2 linked regions of the Tamandua tetradactyla genome follow. The protein of the gene in region 2 purifies or fractionates together with the protein of the main gene of each other region. This does not show direct contact. Links are inferred from orthologs where the notes say so. Each region holds a gene or a part of one and is shown on either strand. Other genes may lie near its edges.

Region 1 (7,706 bases), on a different chromosome or scaffold from region 2:
AGATGAGGTATGCCGAGCTGCTTGGGCTGTGCTACGTTGAGTTCTCTCATTTAAGCACCAGCCAATTAAATCAAACATCATTCATTATAGCAGGCATGCCTCCTAGCCGACTGCAGATGTAATGAGCAACAGATGAGGTCCACGTACCATTGGCTCATGTTCACAGCAATAAAACTAGGCACGTTCACCTGGCCAAATTGACAACTGAATCTAACTACCACACCATCTCATAGAGTTGTCTTGGGGATGAACTGAATTAGCAGTTATAAAGCACTTATACTGGTGCCTGGAACACAGTAAGCACTATGTAAATATAAAATTAAAAGGATTAAAACTTAAGAAGAAATTTTTAATTAAAAAGAAATAAAAATAAAAAATAAGTAACTCCATTCATTCGTGGACATTTATTGTGCCAGGCACTATTGCAAGTCCTGGGGACACAGCAGTGAGTAAGGCAGGTGAAAATTTTACATTCTAGGCATTTTATTTGGGAGGCCAGTGAAGACAGACAATATACAAAATGAAAAACAAAATATATGACTAATAAAATACAAGTAGGGGGTGGGTCATGGTGGCTCAGCAGGCAGAGTTCTCACCTGCCATACTGGAGACCCGGGTTTGATTCCCGGAGCCTGCCCATGTCAAAAAATAATAATAATAATAAAAATAAAATAATAAATAATACAGTTAGTTCCAAACTGAGGAATGAGAGCTGTGCAGGAGCTGGTAAGGCTGTTCGCCTACGACCTGCTGCAGAGTAGGGCTCAGAAGATGGAAAAGGGAATGAAGACACTGGATAAGCAGCAGCGTAGAATCCCTGGTGGAGACACTGGAGCTGATAAAATGTTTGGAGTAATGATCATTTTCATCACCGTGACATAATAGCAGCAAACATTATACAGCACTCATTTTGTAGAAGGCACTGTTTTAACCACTTCATATATATGATCTCATTTAGCCCTTACAACAACCATATGATGCAAGTACTATTGCTATTTTCATTTTCTCAAACATTTTTTATTGTGAAATCTAACATACATTCAAAAAAGCAATAAATTCCAAAGTACGTTGTAACAAGTAGGTATAGAATAGATTTCAGAGTTTGGTACAGGTTACAGTTCCACAATTTCAGGTTTTTCCTTCTAACTATTCTAAGACACTGGAGATTAAAAGAATTATCAATATAATGATTCTACAGTCACACTCATTTGTTAAATCCTATCTTCTCTGTTACAACTCCTCCTTCTCCTTTGAACCTTCTCTCAATCTTTAGGGGTATTTGGGCTATGTCCATTCTAACTTTTTCATGTTGGGAAGGGGTGTCGACATTATGGGACAGGAGGATGAACTAGGTGATGTTCTTGGAGACGCCCTGGGTTTCAGGAGTTATCTGGCCTAGGAACCATCTGGAGGTTGTAGGTTTCTAGATAGTAATCTTAGTGCATGCAACTTTTGTATAATCTCAGATAGAGCCCTAGGTCTTCTTTAGGGTTAACAGGAATGGTTTTGGTTGGGGCTTGGAAAACTGTGGTAATTACCAATATCTAGCTGAAGCCTGCATACAGAATATACAGAACATACAGAATAGCCTCTCAACTCTATTGAACACTGTTAGGCACTGATACCTTATTTTGTTACATTTGTCTTCCCCCTTTTGGTCAGGAAGATGTTGAGTCTAAGGTGCAGGGCCAGTCTCATCCCTGGGAGTCATGTACCACGTTGACAGGGAGACTTTCACCCCTGAATGTCATGTCCCATGTAAGGGGAAACTAATGGTTTTCCTTGCAGAGTTGGGCTTAGAGAGAGGCCACATCTGAGCAACAAAAGAGGTTTTCTTTCCTGGAAGCAACTCTTAGGCATAACTATAGGTAGGTTTAGCTTCTCTGCTACAGAAATAAGCTTCATAAGAGCAAGCCTCAAGATCAAGGGCTTGGCCTATTGATTTGGGAGTCCCTAATGTTTGAGACGGTATCAGGGGTTTCCCTAGTGCTAAAGTTTAATAGTTCCATATCTTTTCTCCAGTCCCTCAAGGGACTTTGCAAATACTTTTTAATTATCTGCTCAGCATACTCTGGGATGAATCTGGGTATTACATTAAGCTATACACAATTACAAATCCTCATTCCCATTCTGGGCTCCATGTGTTTGGGTGTACTACACATAGAGAGGTTAAGTAATTTGCCTAGCAAGGTCACAGGGTTAGTAGGGATGGATCTGTGATTTGAACCCAGGTCATCTGGCTCCAGTGTCTGGAGGGCTGGACCTGTGAGTAGAGGGAACGGGACTGGCTACTCAGCCTCAGGACAAGGTAGGGCCAACTCCAACACCTACAGGCACCAAACCCAATATATTTAACACACACCCAGCTTTAAGGCTGCTCAGTGGGCCTGGAAGAGTGACAAAGAGGCATAAAATAAACATCAGTGTTCAGTTCTGGAGGGCCCAACCCCCAAAGCATTAGGGACATAAATGGCAGGCTCCCCACATGGCCTCTGCTCCCCTGCCCCCTCCACACATGAGCCCATGTGGCCTTAAGCCCAGCCTCCTGTGACCTTAGGTCACCATTTCACCCAGAGACCAAAGGAAATTATGAATCTCATAATCCTGAGAAGTTTAACAGAGGCACCAACAACTCCAGATTGCATTTGGAGACTGAGAAAGTCATCAAGAGACTGAGATACAGAGAGGTGGAAAATGGGACTGGTGGGACGGGAGAGAGCTGGAATCCACAGCAGTAGAAGCCCAGAGAGGAGGGCAGTCCTTCACAGTTCACAAGACCCTTTTTCATTCTTCCTAACCCCTCACTTGATATTTCCCAGTTCTTACCCTAGGCAAGGCAGAAATTAACAGACCAAATTGTCAAATGGGGAAACTGAGTCCCAGAGAGGAACAATGAATTCTTTAGGGTCACACACAGGATTAGAAGTCAGCTGCCCACAAGCCTTTCCATTGAACCACTCAGAGACAGAGTATGAGAGAGAGAAATAAAGAGACTGGAGTGGGGTATGTGGGGGTGTAGACAGGTACAGGGAGGCAAGAGGCAAGTGGCAGTTAACTGAAGCAGGAAATTACCTACAAGACCCAAGAGCAGAGAAATTCTCTGTGATCTCCAGGCCCTCCAATCCTCATTACCCCTGTGGATGGATGAGGACTATCATACTCACTCCCTCACTCCCAATCCCAGGCTGGGTTTTAGAGGTTAGAGAACGATCAAAGCCCTATACATAGAATCAGACAGCTTTCGAAGTTTCCAAGTTCATAATCAGCAAACTTTAGAGATATCCCCCTTTTGCTAACCCATTGAACAGATGGGAGATCAAGACCCAGAGATAAAAAGTGACTTGCCAGAAGCCGGAAGTCACTCAATGACAGAAATACAGGTCTCTTGACCAGAGCATAGAAGACAGAGGCCATCCCTTCCTTGCTTCAGGCTTCAAATAATAGTTCCCTGGGAAGAGCCCTGGGATCCAGGAGTCCTGAGATCTGCTCCTGGCCGTGCTGAAATTCACTGATTGGCTTTGGGCACTCCTCTCATAGAATATAAGCTCCTTGATTGCATGGATTTTTGTCTGCTACGTCCTTGATGTATTCCTAGAACAATGCCTGGCACATAGTATGTGCTCAATAAATATTTGTTGCACAAATCAATGTCTAGAGGTCCAGGGCCAGGGAAGTGCTACTGTGAGAGAGTCTGAAACCCAAAGGAAGAGACCAGGGAACCATAAGCTATATCATCTTCAGACATGTGAAAGGCTAAAATCCTATCAACAAATATTTACACAGGGTTCATTATGTGTGTAATTACTAAACTAGGCGCTGGGGATTCAGTTAAGAAAAGGCAGTCATACTTCAACCTAGAAAGTTCATAGCCTACAGTAAGGTCCGAAGCGGGCAGTTTTCGGTGATCCCAGGGGGTAGAACCAAGCATGAGGTGGGCATGGGGTGTAAGGGGCAGGGAAGTAGAGGGCTCAAGGTAACGCGATGCTTTTCTTAGCCTGAGCTGCCCCTAAATGGCCTCGCTGCTCAGAAGGTGGTGAGTGCAGTGGGACTGCGGTGTTCAAGCAGGGCGTCCGGCCACCCACCTGTCAGAGACTGTGCCAGGAGTCTGCGGAAGGAGAGAGTTCTGCCTTGGGTGAGGTCACTTCCCACCCCCAGTACCTCTGCCAAGAAAACCCTGCAATTCTCTGACGTTGAAAACTGGGAGTTTATTATTCTCTGATTTTCAAAGTCCCATGATGCTGACAGCCCCCAATTCGAAGTTGGCAGTCTCTGCCCAAACCGCTGGACCCCGCCCCCCCGAAAAACAAAAACGGACTGAACAAGAGTCCTACTACCCACTGCTTCCAAAGGGTTCTGGGGATAGTCAGCGCCTCTTCCCAATCGCACACGCAGCCTTAGCTTGTAGGGGCTGTGGGAGCGTAGTCCGGACGCTGGGGTCCCAGGGGCGTCGTGGGGTGAAGGGTGTCCCAGGGACCGCATTCAGAGAACCGGGACACGTGACACCTGGAGCATCACGTTCCGCGGTCCACGGTGCTGGGACCGGGCCGGTCACGTGACGAGGAGGGCACTATGGGGTGATGTGAGACACGGGACCGCTCAGATTACGTACAAATGACGCATTTCCACCCATTTTGGCAACTGAATTTCCAATGGAAGCTGGTTCGGGTAAAGGAGGCGGGCTCTCACCTAGCGCAGTTTCGCTTCCGTTCAGGGCACTACAGCTTCCGACCTCCGCCCTTTCCCTCCGGCGAGGAAGAGACGCATCCTCGTGCGCATGCTCCGAATCCTTGCTCAGGGGGTGGGGCCGAGGCTATGGGAGTGGAGGGGGCGGGGAAGAGGAGGGAATTCCAACCTGTGGAGTCTTCCAGGGGGTCCCCGCGGCCGGCTCCTTCCCATTGGCTGTGGACGTTGCAAGGGGTGGGGCCTCTGGCGGCTAGTGGGGCTTTTGGGGTCCTCTTAGTGAAACAGGGGAGTGTCAGGGTGCGAGAGGGACACGGGAGTTCCAGACTCAGAACTTGAGGCCCACGGGGCTCAAGCGCCGGGCAAAGGGAGCTCGGGCCGCCATGCGGGACAGGACCCACGAGCTCAGGCAGGTGAGGAGTCGGGGGAGCAGGCTTGGGGGCGGGAGGACGGGGTGGGATCTGGCCGGAACGCAGGACTTCTGGACCTCAGGACAGGAGGTGGGAAGGGGTTGGCTGATGGCCTGGCAGGAAACACCCGGAAGGCCGTGGGTCCCGCGGGGCAAAAGCGACAGAAAGGAAGTGGTGCTAATGACCCTGGCCCTGGCAGGGGGATGACAGCTCGGACGATGAGGACAAGTTGCGGATCGCGCTGGTGGTGCACCCGGGCACGGCCCGGCTGGGAAGTCCGGACGAAGAATTCTTCCAGAAGGTAAGCTGGGGCCTCGGCGTGTATTTCACGAGGGGGCAAGGCTGGGGTTGGGGCGGGGCTGACGAGCAGCGTGCAGTCTGGAGTACCCCATGTCTCCTTCAGCCCTCTCTGTCTCCCTCCTTAGGTCCGCACAATTCGGCAGACTATTGTCAAACTGGAGAACAAAGTGCGGGAGTTGGAGAAGCAGCAGGTCACCATCCTGGCCACGCCCCTTCCCGAAAAGAGTGAGTGACAACTCCAGTGCAGAGCGCTTGCTCAACTTGTGGGATTGTGGGGGTTGTAGTTCCACGCAGGTGGTGGCCAGAGTGGTTTGTTGTGGTATAGACTGCTGTTGGGGTTCATGGTCTTCTCTTTGTTCAGGTATGAAGCAGGACCTGCAGAACCTGCGGGATGAAATCAAAGAGCTGGGGAGGGACATCCAGATACAGCTGAAGGGTGAGCTTCTAGGACCTCAGATCCTTTTCTCTGGCCCTGTGGTGTACAGGAGAGTGATGGCCCAGAGCTGCTGGTGATATATTCACTTTATACACAGGCCTGAGTCTAGAAGTTCAGTTTACTGGCTTCAAGTCCCATGCGTTTTCCACAGCCCATGGCTGCCCTGGGATTTTCTTATTTGCAATGAAACTACTTACTCCTACAATTCTTTCTGTCCATTGTGCATTCTTTGAACAAGCAGGTAGGGGTTTTGTTAGGGGGGCCTCTGCATACCTGTGGGAATTCATGGATGCGTGGCAAAGAAAAATACACTTTCTCCTGTCAGAGGCCCAAAATTAGTCATTTTGTGCTAAATTATATTTCCCTAACAAAATCTATGTAGATCACTAATTTTGTAACTGGAATATGGCCCTGGCCTTGTGTTCTGGTCCCCAAACAATCTTCAGAAGTCACAAGTCAATCCCTCTTTCCCCCCATATTCCTGTGTCTTCCCACAGCCATAGAGCCCCAGGAGGAAGCTGATGACAACTATAACTCAGTCAACATGAGGATGAGAAAAACCCAGGTGGGTTTGTTGTTCCCAGAACCAGGCTATTTTACCAAGTGTTTCAATAGATTATTAGGTGGCAGAAGTGAGAAGGAAGGGCCATTAGAGATTGAATCCCATCTGATGATTTTTCTATTGGGGAAACTAAGGTTAAGAGAGAGAAAGGATTCACCCAAGGTTAAGAGCCCAGGACTCCTGATGCTTGAAATATTTTAACACCCTGTCTTCTTCTCCTCCATTCAGTGAGGCTCAGCTGTGGCAGATGTACTTTCCAGGAGCTCAGATGGGGAGTTAAGGGTTGAATAGGTAACAAAGATGTTACTGGGGTAGAACTTGGTGGCTAAAGACACTGCCCAAGGTAAAAGGTCATCTCTGGGAGGTTTCCAGTCCATGTGACAGGGAAAATCCATGGGCAAAATTCAGGAAGTCAGAAAGAGGAACTTTCATGCTGGGGAAGGTCACTGAATGTCTTAGTAAGGGGCTCTGAAGGGATCTGACCAGAGTCCCTTTGCAGTCCCAGCGAGGACTGCTTTGGGGTTGCTAGAAGTCAGGATTGAAGTAGGTGGGCCCAGAACTCAGCAAAAAGACCAAATTGAAGATGGACAAATTTGAGCATCTTGAAAGAGGGTGGCTAAATCCAAGAGAGTAGATGTGCCCCTGAGGAAGGAACTCACAATATGTAAGGATTCAGGGAAAGGGACAAGGCAGGGCAAAGCAGCCTTGCAGAAGCCCAGAGTGGGCTTTTTAGGAGGAGCAAAGACTCTTGGTCATTGTGTGAGATGACTAAGGTCCTAGGTGGGCCTGTTAAAATCTTGGCATCAGGCTTACTGACTGGCCTCTAAGCTGTCATGTTCAGCAGACATTCAACAAATACATTCGATTCTCATTATTTTTGGTACTTACGTTGTATAAAGTCTCAGTGTATACTGAAGTAGGGAATATTTAATTTAGTGAATACATTGCCCTGAGGGGAAATTTGGGATTAGGTTCCTGTGAGGCTTCAGTCACTCACTTTTCCTCAATCAATACATGACCTTGTTTTAGATGTGCTTCTTTTTTTCTTTTTAGCTTTTTTATTGTATAGTATAACATATATACAAAGCAATGAAATAAAAAAAGCAATAGTTTTCAAAGCACTCTTCAGCAGGTAGTTACAGGACAGATCCCAGAGTTTGTTATGGGCTACCATATGATCCTCTCAGATTTTTCCTTCTAGCTGCTCCAGGATATAGGCGGCTAGAAGGCTTAAATATTTTTTTTATCATCACAATCGACTTTTTCTCCTTTTTTTTTTTTGTGAAAAATAACATATATACAAAAAAGCAGTAAGTTT
Region 2 (7,181 bases):
AGTGCTCGGACTATTGGGGACAGGGGAAAGTGAGTGACCCAGGGCCTTCTCCCATGGTGGAAGGGTGGGGTGGGTGCGGAGCAGGCATGGCCCTAATATTATCAGGGCCTGGGACAATTGTCTGAACACCCACATATTTCAATTATAAGTTGAGGTGACAATCAAGTCAAAAATCTATCCATGGGTAGGCCACGGGGGCTCAGTAGCAGAGTTCTCGCCTGCCATGATGGAGACCCGGGTTCAATTCCCGGTGCCTGGCCATGCAAAAAAAAGAAAACCAAAACACTTCTACCCTCCTACCTTGACAAATATCACTTCCTGACTAAAGAATTCTCGATTCCTGGGAGCTCCCCACCTGCATGGAGTCAGGTCCCTGACCTGCCCTCTTCTCTCCTTACCCCTGGCACCACCTCACACATTGAAGGGCTCAATATACATGGCCACATACTCCCGGGCCTTGGGAGGGCGGACACTGGTGGGGAGGGGTGCAGGCTCCAGGTAGGCACATCTCCCTGACTCCATGTCTCCTTGCCCCACAGGGACTGTCAAAGCCAGGGGATGGACAGCAGCCCTATAGAGGGGAGGGGGGAAGACAGGGCTGGGAGTAAGTGAAACTCCTCCCCTTCCCCCAGCACTCACTGCAGAAACTACTTTGCCTGGGCCATCCTCCCCACATTCGGCTGGAGAAAGAGAAATCAAGTCCCAAGGAGACAGGGGCTATGCCCAAGATCACACACGGGACTGAGAAAACTAGAACCAGCCTCTCCCACTGGACACGAAGCCTGAGCTGAACTTTGGAGTCACTCCCTCCCTGAGCCCCTGGCCGAAGAGAAAAAAGAATAAGTTCCAGCAGGGCCTGTGGGAGATATTATTCTAGTCTTCTGCTGGCAGAGGAACCCATCATCAAAGAATGTCACTGCTCTCCCCGGCCCCTCTGCAAAGCTGACTTAGCAAGCACTCCAGCTGTCCTCCATCTCCTGGAGGAGGTCAAAGGCCCTCGCAGGATTTTCCCAGACTCCGTATTTTTGCCCTGAAGATGTCAAGTCCAAATGGCATTGTCAAGGGCAGCCTTCAAAAAAGAAAACCAGTTTCACAAGCATGCACAGGATGACAGACGGAGGCATCCATCTGTCTCTGAATATGAGTCTATGGGCCAGCGCCCTCAAACCCCAGTCACCAGACCCATTCGCTGGGCCCCAAGATCACTCAGCATAAGCAGAAGAGAAACAGCAGTGGAAACTCAGCTCACACCAATTCCCAAAATATGTCAGAAGGGAATAGAAACAACACTTCTATCCCTCCTGTTCTTTTTGCCCCACAGATAAACACTTTTCTCTTTCCACACAGGAGTCCCCTCCCTTTCCCCCTCCAGCCCCCCGCAGCCTCCTCCCCCCACCCCCATCTCACTGTGGCTTCCAGGTCTTCTGTCTTGTTGCGAAGATGGTCCAAGTTTTCTCCTCGGGCCAGGATACGCTCCACATTCTGGGTCATAATATTTTTGACCCCTTCCACCTCGCTCTGCAGGTTCCGCACCTGGTCATTTCCTCCACTGGTCCCCTCCTGGGCAGCAACACAGGGGTTAACTAGGCTAAGTGGAGCAGGAAGAGAAAGGCTCAGCCTTGGAGGCCAGAGGAGGGTAAGGCCAACTTTGGCTTTTCTTTCGTAATGCTTGAACTGTTTATAAAGAGAATGTTTTCGTGTATTACTTGTGTAATAAAAAAAAACTCAACACATTAAGTTCCAGAAGTTGAGAGCTGATGCTAGACAGACTAGATCAAAATGGATTTTCAGGTGCCCGGGGTCCCTGTGCCCTTCCAGGGCAGAACCTCACCATCAGTCACCAGTTCCCATTCCCCTTTTCCCTCATCCTACAGGGCCCTTCTGAAAAGTGTCTTTTCTGCCTGGCCCGACTTGCTGCTCTCTCTCAGGCAGCAGCAGCGGGAGAACTGGCCCGGCCCCCTGCCTCCGGGGCAGTCTTACCCCACTGGTGCACCCCGCGCAGGGGGCCACCCCGCTCACATCCCACCCAAGGCGCCACAAGCCGTTGAGCCGCAAACTTCTGCTTTCCCCACCACTTAGCCACCACGTGCAGGCCCCGAGCCACCGCCTGCTTTGCAGATATTACGTTAAAAACTGGGTTTTTGCAGACTGGGTGCTGGGGGAAATGGAGGGCAAGTTCTTCCCGGCGGCTGCCTCAGCCTGGGGCCTCACGATAAGGTTTCGGAACAGGGAGAGAACAACCTAATTCAGCTCCTCCCTCCCTGACCCACTGGGCCTCCAGCAACAGGCCAGGGGTTTGAGTCAAAACGAGATGAACACAGACGACCAACTTCAGGTTGTTTTACCAACCCTTAGCTCTCTTCCTGGGGTTACCAAGAGGGGTATGAGTCCTTGGGCTCGGTGGGTTTCTGTCTAGGGGGGGTAAAGCGGGAGGTAGGGGGTGGGGAGCGCCACCGCCTGGCTGGAATCTAAGCTGGAAACAGCAGAGGCGGCTGCCCTGCAGTGTCACAACCCCTGGCCAGACAGAGGAGAAGACGAAGGAGGACAGGGCAGTCCTGTGCCAGGAATTCTGAGTCCCCCACCCCTACCCCGTCCCAATTATCACTCCAAAATCCCCTCTCCTAGCCAGCACAGAGGTCAGGGGAGGGAGGGAGCACAGAGGGCAGCTCAGAACCATTTGCAGCCAAGTGGTGAAAGCAGAGAGTCCCCAGGCCGCGCCGGGACCAGCCATCCACTCTGCCACCAACTCTCCCTCCCCCAGCGCGGACGCCCCCAGCCCCGAGGCCCCTCCTCAGTCCCAGGGCGCTCACCATGTCTTCAAGCGGCCGGGCGGGGCGACAGCCTAACTCGCCTAGTTTGCTTCCTCCCGGGCCAGCCCCTCGGCTCACTTCCTGCTTACTCCAACTTCCAGCCCGCCCCCGCCCACCTCACATCCCAGCTCCAGCCACACCTCACGCAGGTCCCCGCAGCGGGGCGGGTCCCCGCAGGTGGGCCGGTTCCCGCAGTGGGCGGGTTCCCGCTGGTGGGCAGGTTGCCTCAGGTGAGCAGGTTCCTGCAGGGGGGCGGGCGCTCTCCACCGCCCTCCCAGCCTTCGACTTAAAGCCACAGGGCGTCCCTCGGGCGCCAGGTTTCTTCCCACGTGTCAGGAACGAGAAAAGAATGACCAAGAAGCACCCCCCTCCTCCCCGAGTTCCCTGAGGTTGGCCCCTCTCCTCCAGAAAGGGTAGCCATCCTTTTTGAATATCTGGCCCCAATTCCTAGCGACTGAAATCCCCTTAGTGCTCTGCCAGGCTTGGTTCACAGGGAAATTCCTTGCTGGACCAAGCCTTGGGCCCAGGTCCCAGGGTTAGGGGAGTGGGGGTGGGGGTGGGCAGAAGCACTACCTCTTCCCCCGACCCCTGCCCCGTCCCCCCAAGATCTGGACTGCTGAGATCCTGAGCTCATGTCAGAAAATGCAGGGTTTGAGTCTCAGTTGCAGCATCTACTAGCTGGGTGAGCCAAAGCGAGCCCCTCCATCTTTAGGGATATGTGGGCTATGCCCATTCTAACTTTTTCTTGTTCAAAAGGGCTTGTCACTAATATGGGACAGGGGGATGGAACTAGTGATGTTCTACGAGAGGTTGGCCCCTCTGGGTTTCAGGACTTATCTGGCCTAGGAATCCAATCTGGCGGTTGTCGGTTTCTGGAAAGTAATCATAGTGTATGAAGCTTATGTAGAATCTCAGATTGAGCCCTAGGTGTTCTTTAGGGTTGACAGGAATGGTTTTGGTTGGGGTTTAGCAAACCATGCTAAATTTTTTTTTTTGCTAAACCCCAACGTGTAACTGAAGCTTGCATAAGAGTAGCCTACAGAAACTCTCTGGGGTTTGCAGATGCTAACACAGACCTCAGAGGGTGAGGGTAAGGAATTAAAGGAGAGCACAGGCCAAAGGATTTTTCCAGCAAACTGACTCAAGACCAGGGAAAATCCACTCTCTGGGATGGCTTTTATCAGACAGAAGAACAATATCAGGGTCGTGCAGAAAGGATTTTCTATTCTATCCCAGAAAAGATAAAAGTTCCATGAGGGAAATGTCAGTTCCTCCAACAAATACTTTTTAAAGGACTGTAATACATTTTTGACTCTTCTAGCCCTTTGAGATTCTTTCCTTCTACTATCTAATAAAATCTTAATCCCTCTTAGATTGTAAAATTATGAGATTATGCCAACCTGAGTTTTGGAGGACAAGTGTTCTCTATCACAGAGAATGTGGCTGCCCCATAGCTTTGGGTGGATGGAGGCCAGGGATGCTGAAAGTAAGCAGAAAGTAAGCAGCAAGGCAGTCCTCAAAAAAGGATTCTCCAGACCAAACTGTCCAGAGTTGCAGATTGAAAACCCTTGGTTTCCCTAGGAGAACGGAGTGCTTCTGCGATTTCAGCAGCCATTTGTGGACAATTCCCAAATCTGTATCTCCAGCTCTGACCTCACAATTGCCAACACTGCCTCTCCAAAGCCCTGGAAGTTCCATGCACACCTCCAATACCCAAGCAAGCTCTTTATCTCATGCCTTTGTTCCTCTGCCTGGGTGGTACTCACCTTCTCCTGCTTTCCCAAGCTAGAAATCCCAAGCCATTCACCATGCATGATGGACCAGCACCAAGTCTGATGCCTTCTGGGTCCTATCTCTCACACCCACTCCCTCCTTTCCTGGTTAATGCCAGCATGACTGGAAAATTCCAACCAACTCCAAGATGACTTTTCTTTCTCTATGAAGTCCACAGGCAGCCTGTTATCCTCCCCAAACATCTCCCTCCAGGGTAAAGCCCCAGCTCCTTAGCATGGCAGTCAGACTGTTCTCAGTGTGCTTTCCCAAGCTCATTCTCCATTAGATTCACCTCCTAGCCCAGATCATACCAAGTTACATGACCTTCCCAAAGGCACCATATGCTTTTTTTTCTTCCATTATATATATATATTTTTTTCAGTATATATATATATATTATTTTGAAATATAACATATATACAAAAAAGCAATAAATTTCAAAGTACGCTGCAACAATTAGTTATAGAATAGACTTCAGAGTTTGGTATGGATTACAGTTACACAAATTTTAGTTCTGTACTTCTAGCTGCTCCAAGACACTGGATACTAAAAGAAATATCAATATAACAATTCAGCAGTCATATTCATTTGTTAAATCCTATCTTCTCTGTTATAACTCCTCCTTCTCCCGTGATCCTTCTCCCAGTCGTTAGGGGTATTTGGGCCATGCCCATTCTAACTTGTTCATGTTGATAAGGACTGTGGGTAGTATGGGATAGGGGGATGGAACTAGTTGACGTTCTTGGAGAGGCTGGCCCCTCTGAGTTTCAGAATTTATCTGGCCTAAAAATCCATCCAGAGGTTGTAGGTTTCTGGAAAGTAATCATAGTGTATGAAACTTTTGTAGGATCTCAGATAGAGTCTTAAGTGTTCATTAGGGTTGACAGGAATGGTTTTGTTTGGGGTTTTGCAAACTGTGCTGGTTTGAAAGGATGTATGTCCCCTAGAAAAGCCATGTTTTAATCCTAATCCCATTTTGTAAAGGCAGCCATTTCTTCTAATCTCTATTCAGCATTGTATGCTTGAAACTGTAATTAGATTATCTCCCTGGAGATGTGATGTAATCAAGAGTGGTTATTAAACTGGATTAGGTGATGACATGACTCCACCCATTCGGGAGGAGCAGAAAAAGGAAGCATTTTGGAGAATAAGTGATTCAGAAAGAGCAGAGAAGAACGACATAGCCACGAGAATCAGAGAGCCCACGAGCCAGTGACCTTTGGAGATGAAGAGCCTGGGGAGCTTCATGAAACTGGAGGCCAGGAGAGAAAGCTAGCAGATGACACCTTGTTTGCCATGTGCCCTTGCGGCCAAGAGAGAAACCCTGAACTTCATTGGCTTTCTTGAATCAAGGTATCTTTTCCTTAATGCCTCTGATTGGACATTTCTATAGACTTGTTTTGATTGGGACATTTTCTCGGCCTTAGAACTGTAAACTAGCAACTCATTAAATTCTGCTTTTTAAAAGCCATTCTGTTTCCGGTATATTGCATTCTGGCAGCTAGCAAACTAAAACAGATTTTCGCACCAGGAGTGGGGTGCTGCTGTAGTTTGCCAATACCAAACATGTTGGAGTGTCTTTTTAAATGGATAAAGGGAAGATTCTGGAAGAGTTGTGAGAAGCTTGATAGAGAAGGCCTAGAATGTTTTGAAGAGACTGTTGATAGAATGTAGACTCTGAAGATACCTCTGATGAGGCCTTAGACAGAAATGAGGCACATGTTATTGCAAACTGGAAGGAAGGTGATCCTTGTTTTAAAATGGCAGATAATCTGGCAAAATTGACTAGTGGCTTTAGCTGGAAGGCAGATTTTAAAAGCCTCGAACTTGGATATTTAGCAGAAAAGATCTCCAGATTAAATGTGGAAAGTGCAGCCTGGTTATTCCTCATAGCTTATAGTGAAATGCAACAGGAGAGAGATAAGCTGAAAACTGAACTCTTGGGTACAAAGAAACCAAAAATATGATGTCCTGGAAAATTCAGGGCATCCATGTGAGGATTTGACCAGATGTGGAACCAGTCAGCCATCTCAGAGAAAGCCAGGATTGGACATGGAGTTATACAGGAAGGATTTGTGGAAACTCCTTATGTCTGATGGGCATGATCCGAGGCTATTGCATAGAAAGCCAACGAGAGTGCTGTGGGAACTGTATAAACAGAGTCGCCTCCAGTCTGGACTGGGGGGTTCAGAGAAGGGACACATTAGAGGAAAAATAACTTCAGAGGCAAAACCATGGAGGTTGAGGCCTGAAGTCAAGAAGCCTTGGGCCAGGAGAGTGGATCCACCCAAGCCCGTGGAAAGGGTGAGTTTGCCCCAAAGGCAGAGAATGGGCCTTCCACCTGGTTGCCGTGGAAGAGTCATGCCGCCTCAGGCCTTGGAGAGGGTAAAGCACATTCCTTGGGGTTTGGGGAGAGCCTGGCTGCCACCACATGGAGGGGTTGAGCGTGTGCCCCCGAGATGGCAGAGAGACTGGGTGCAGCCCCAATGCTTGGAGAGGGTGGAGCCTAGAAAAAGGTGGTCTCCCCAGTGTCCCCCAAGGTTGCATTTGAAGAGAAGCAGGCCTCTGTGTAGGCCCTTGGAAAGGGTGGGACTGCCG

The links.
Region 1: the proteins of VAMP8 (region 2) and STX4 purify together in Homo sapiens (affinity purification with western blotting; 3 studies listed by BioGRID and IntAct, with this or other methods). This does not show direct contact. The link is inferred for Tamandua tetradactyla from reciprocal best matches to the Homo sapiens genes VAMP8 and STX4.

The regions. Positions count from the first base shown.
Region 1 is NC_135349.1:23,489,959-23,497,664, reverse strand, and holds the start of STX4 (syntaxin-4), read left to right. Parts: upstream 1-4,699; 5' UTR 4,700-5,063; coding exon 5,064-5,093; intron 5,094-5,289; coding exon 5,290-5,391; intron 5,392-5,515; coding exon 5,516-5,615; intron 5,616-5,751; coding exon 5,752-5,826; intron 5,827-6,323; coding exon 6,324-6,391; intron 6,392-7,706. UniProt on the Homo sapiens protein: Plasma membrane t-SNARE that mediates docking of transport vesicles. Necessary for the translocation of SLC2A4 from intracellular vesicles to the plasma membrane.
Region 2 is NC_135343.1:59,880,766-59,887,946, reverse strand, and holds the start of VAMP8 (vesicle-associated membrane protein 8), read right to left. Parts: upstream 3,016-7,181; 5' UTR 2,814-3,015; coding exon 2,811-2,813; intron 1,561-2,810; coding exon 1,408-1,560; intron 11-1,407; coding exon 1-10. UniProt on the Homo sapiens protein: SNAREs, soluble N-ethylmaleimide-sensitive factor-attachment protein receptors, are essential proteins for fusion of cellular membranes.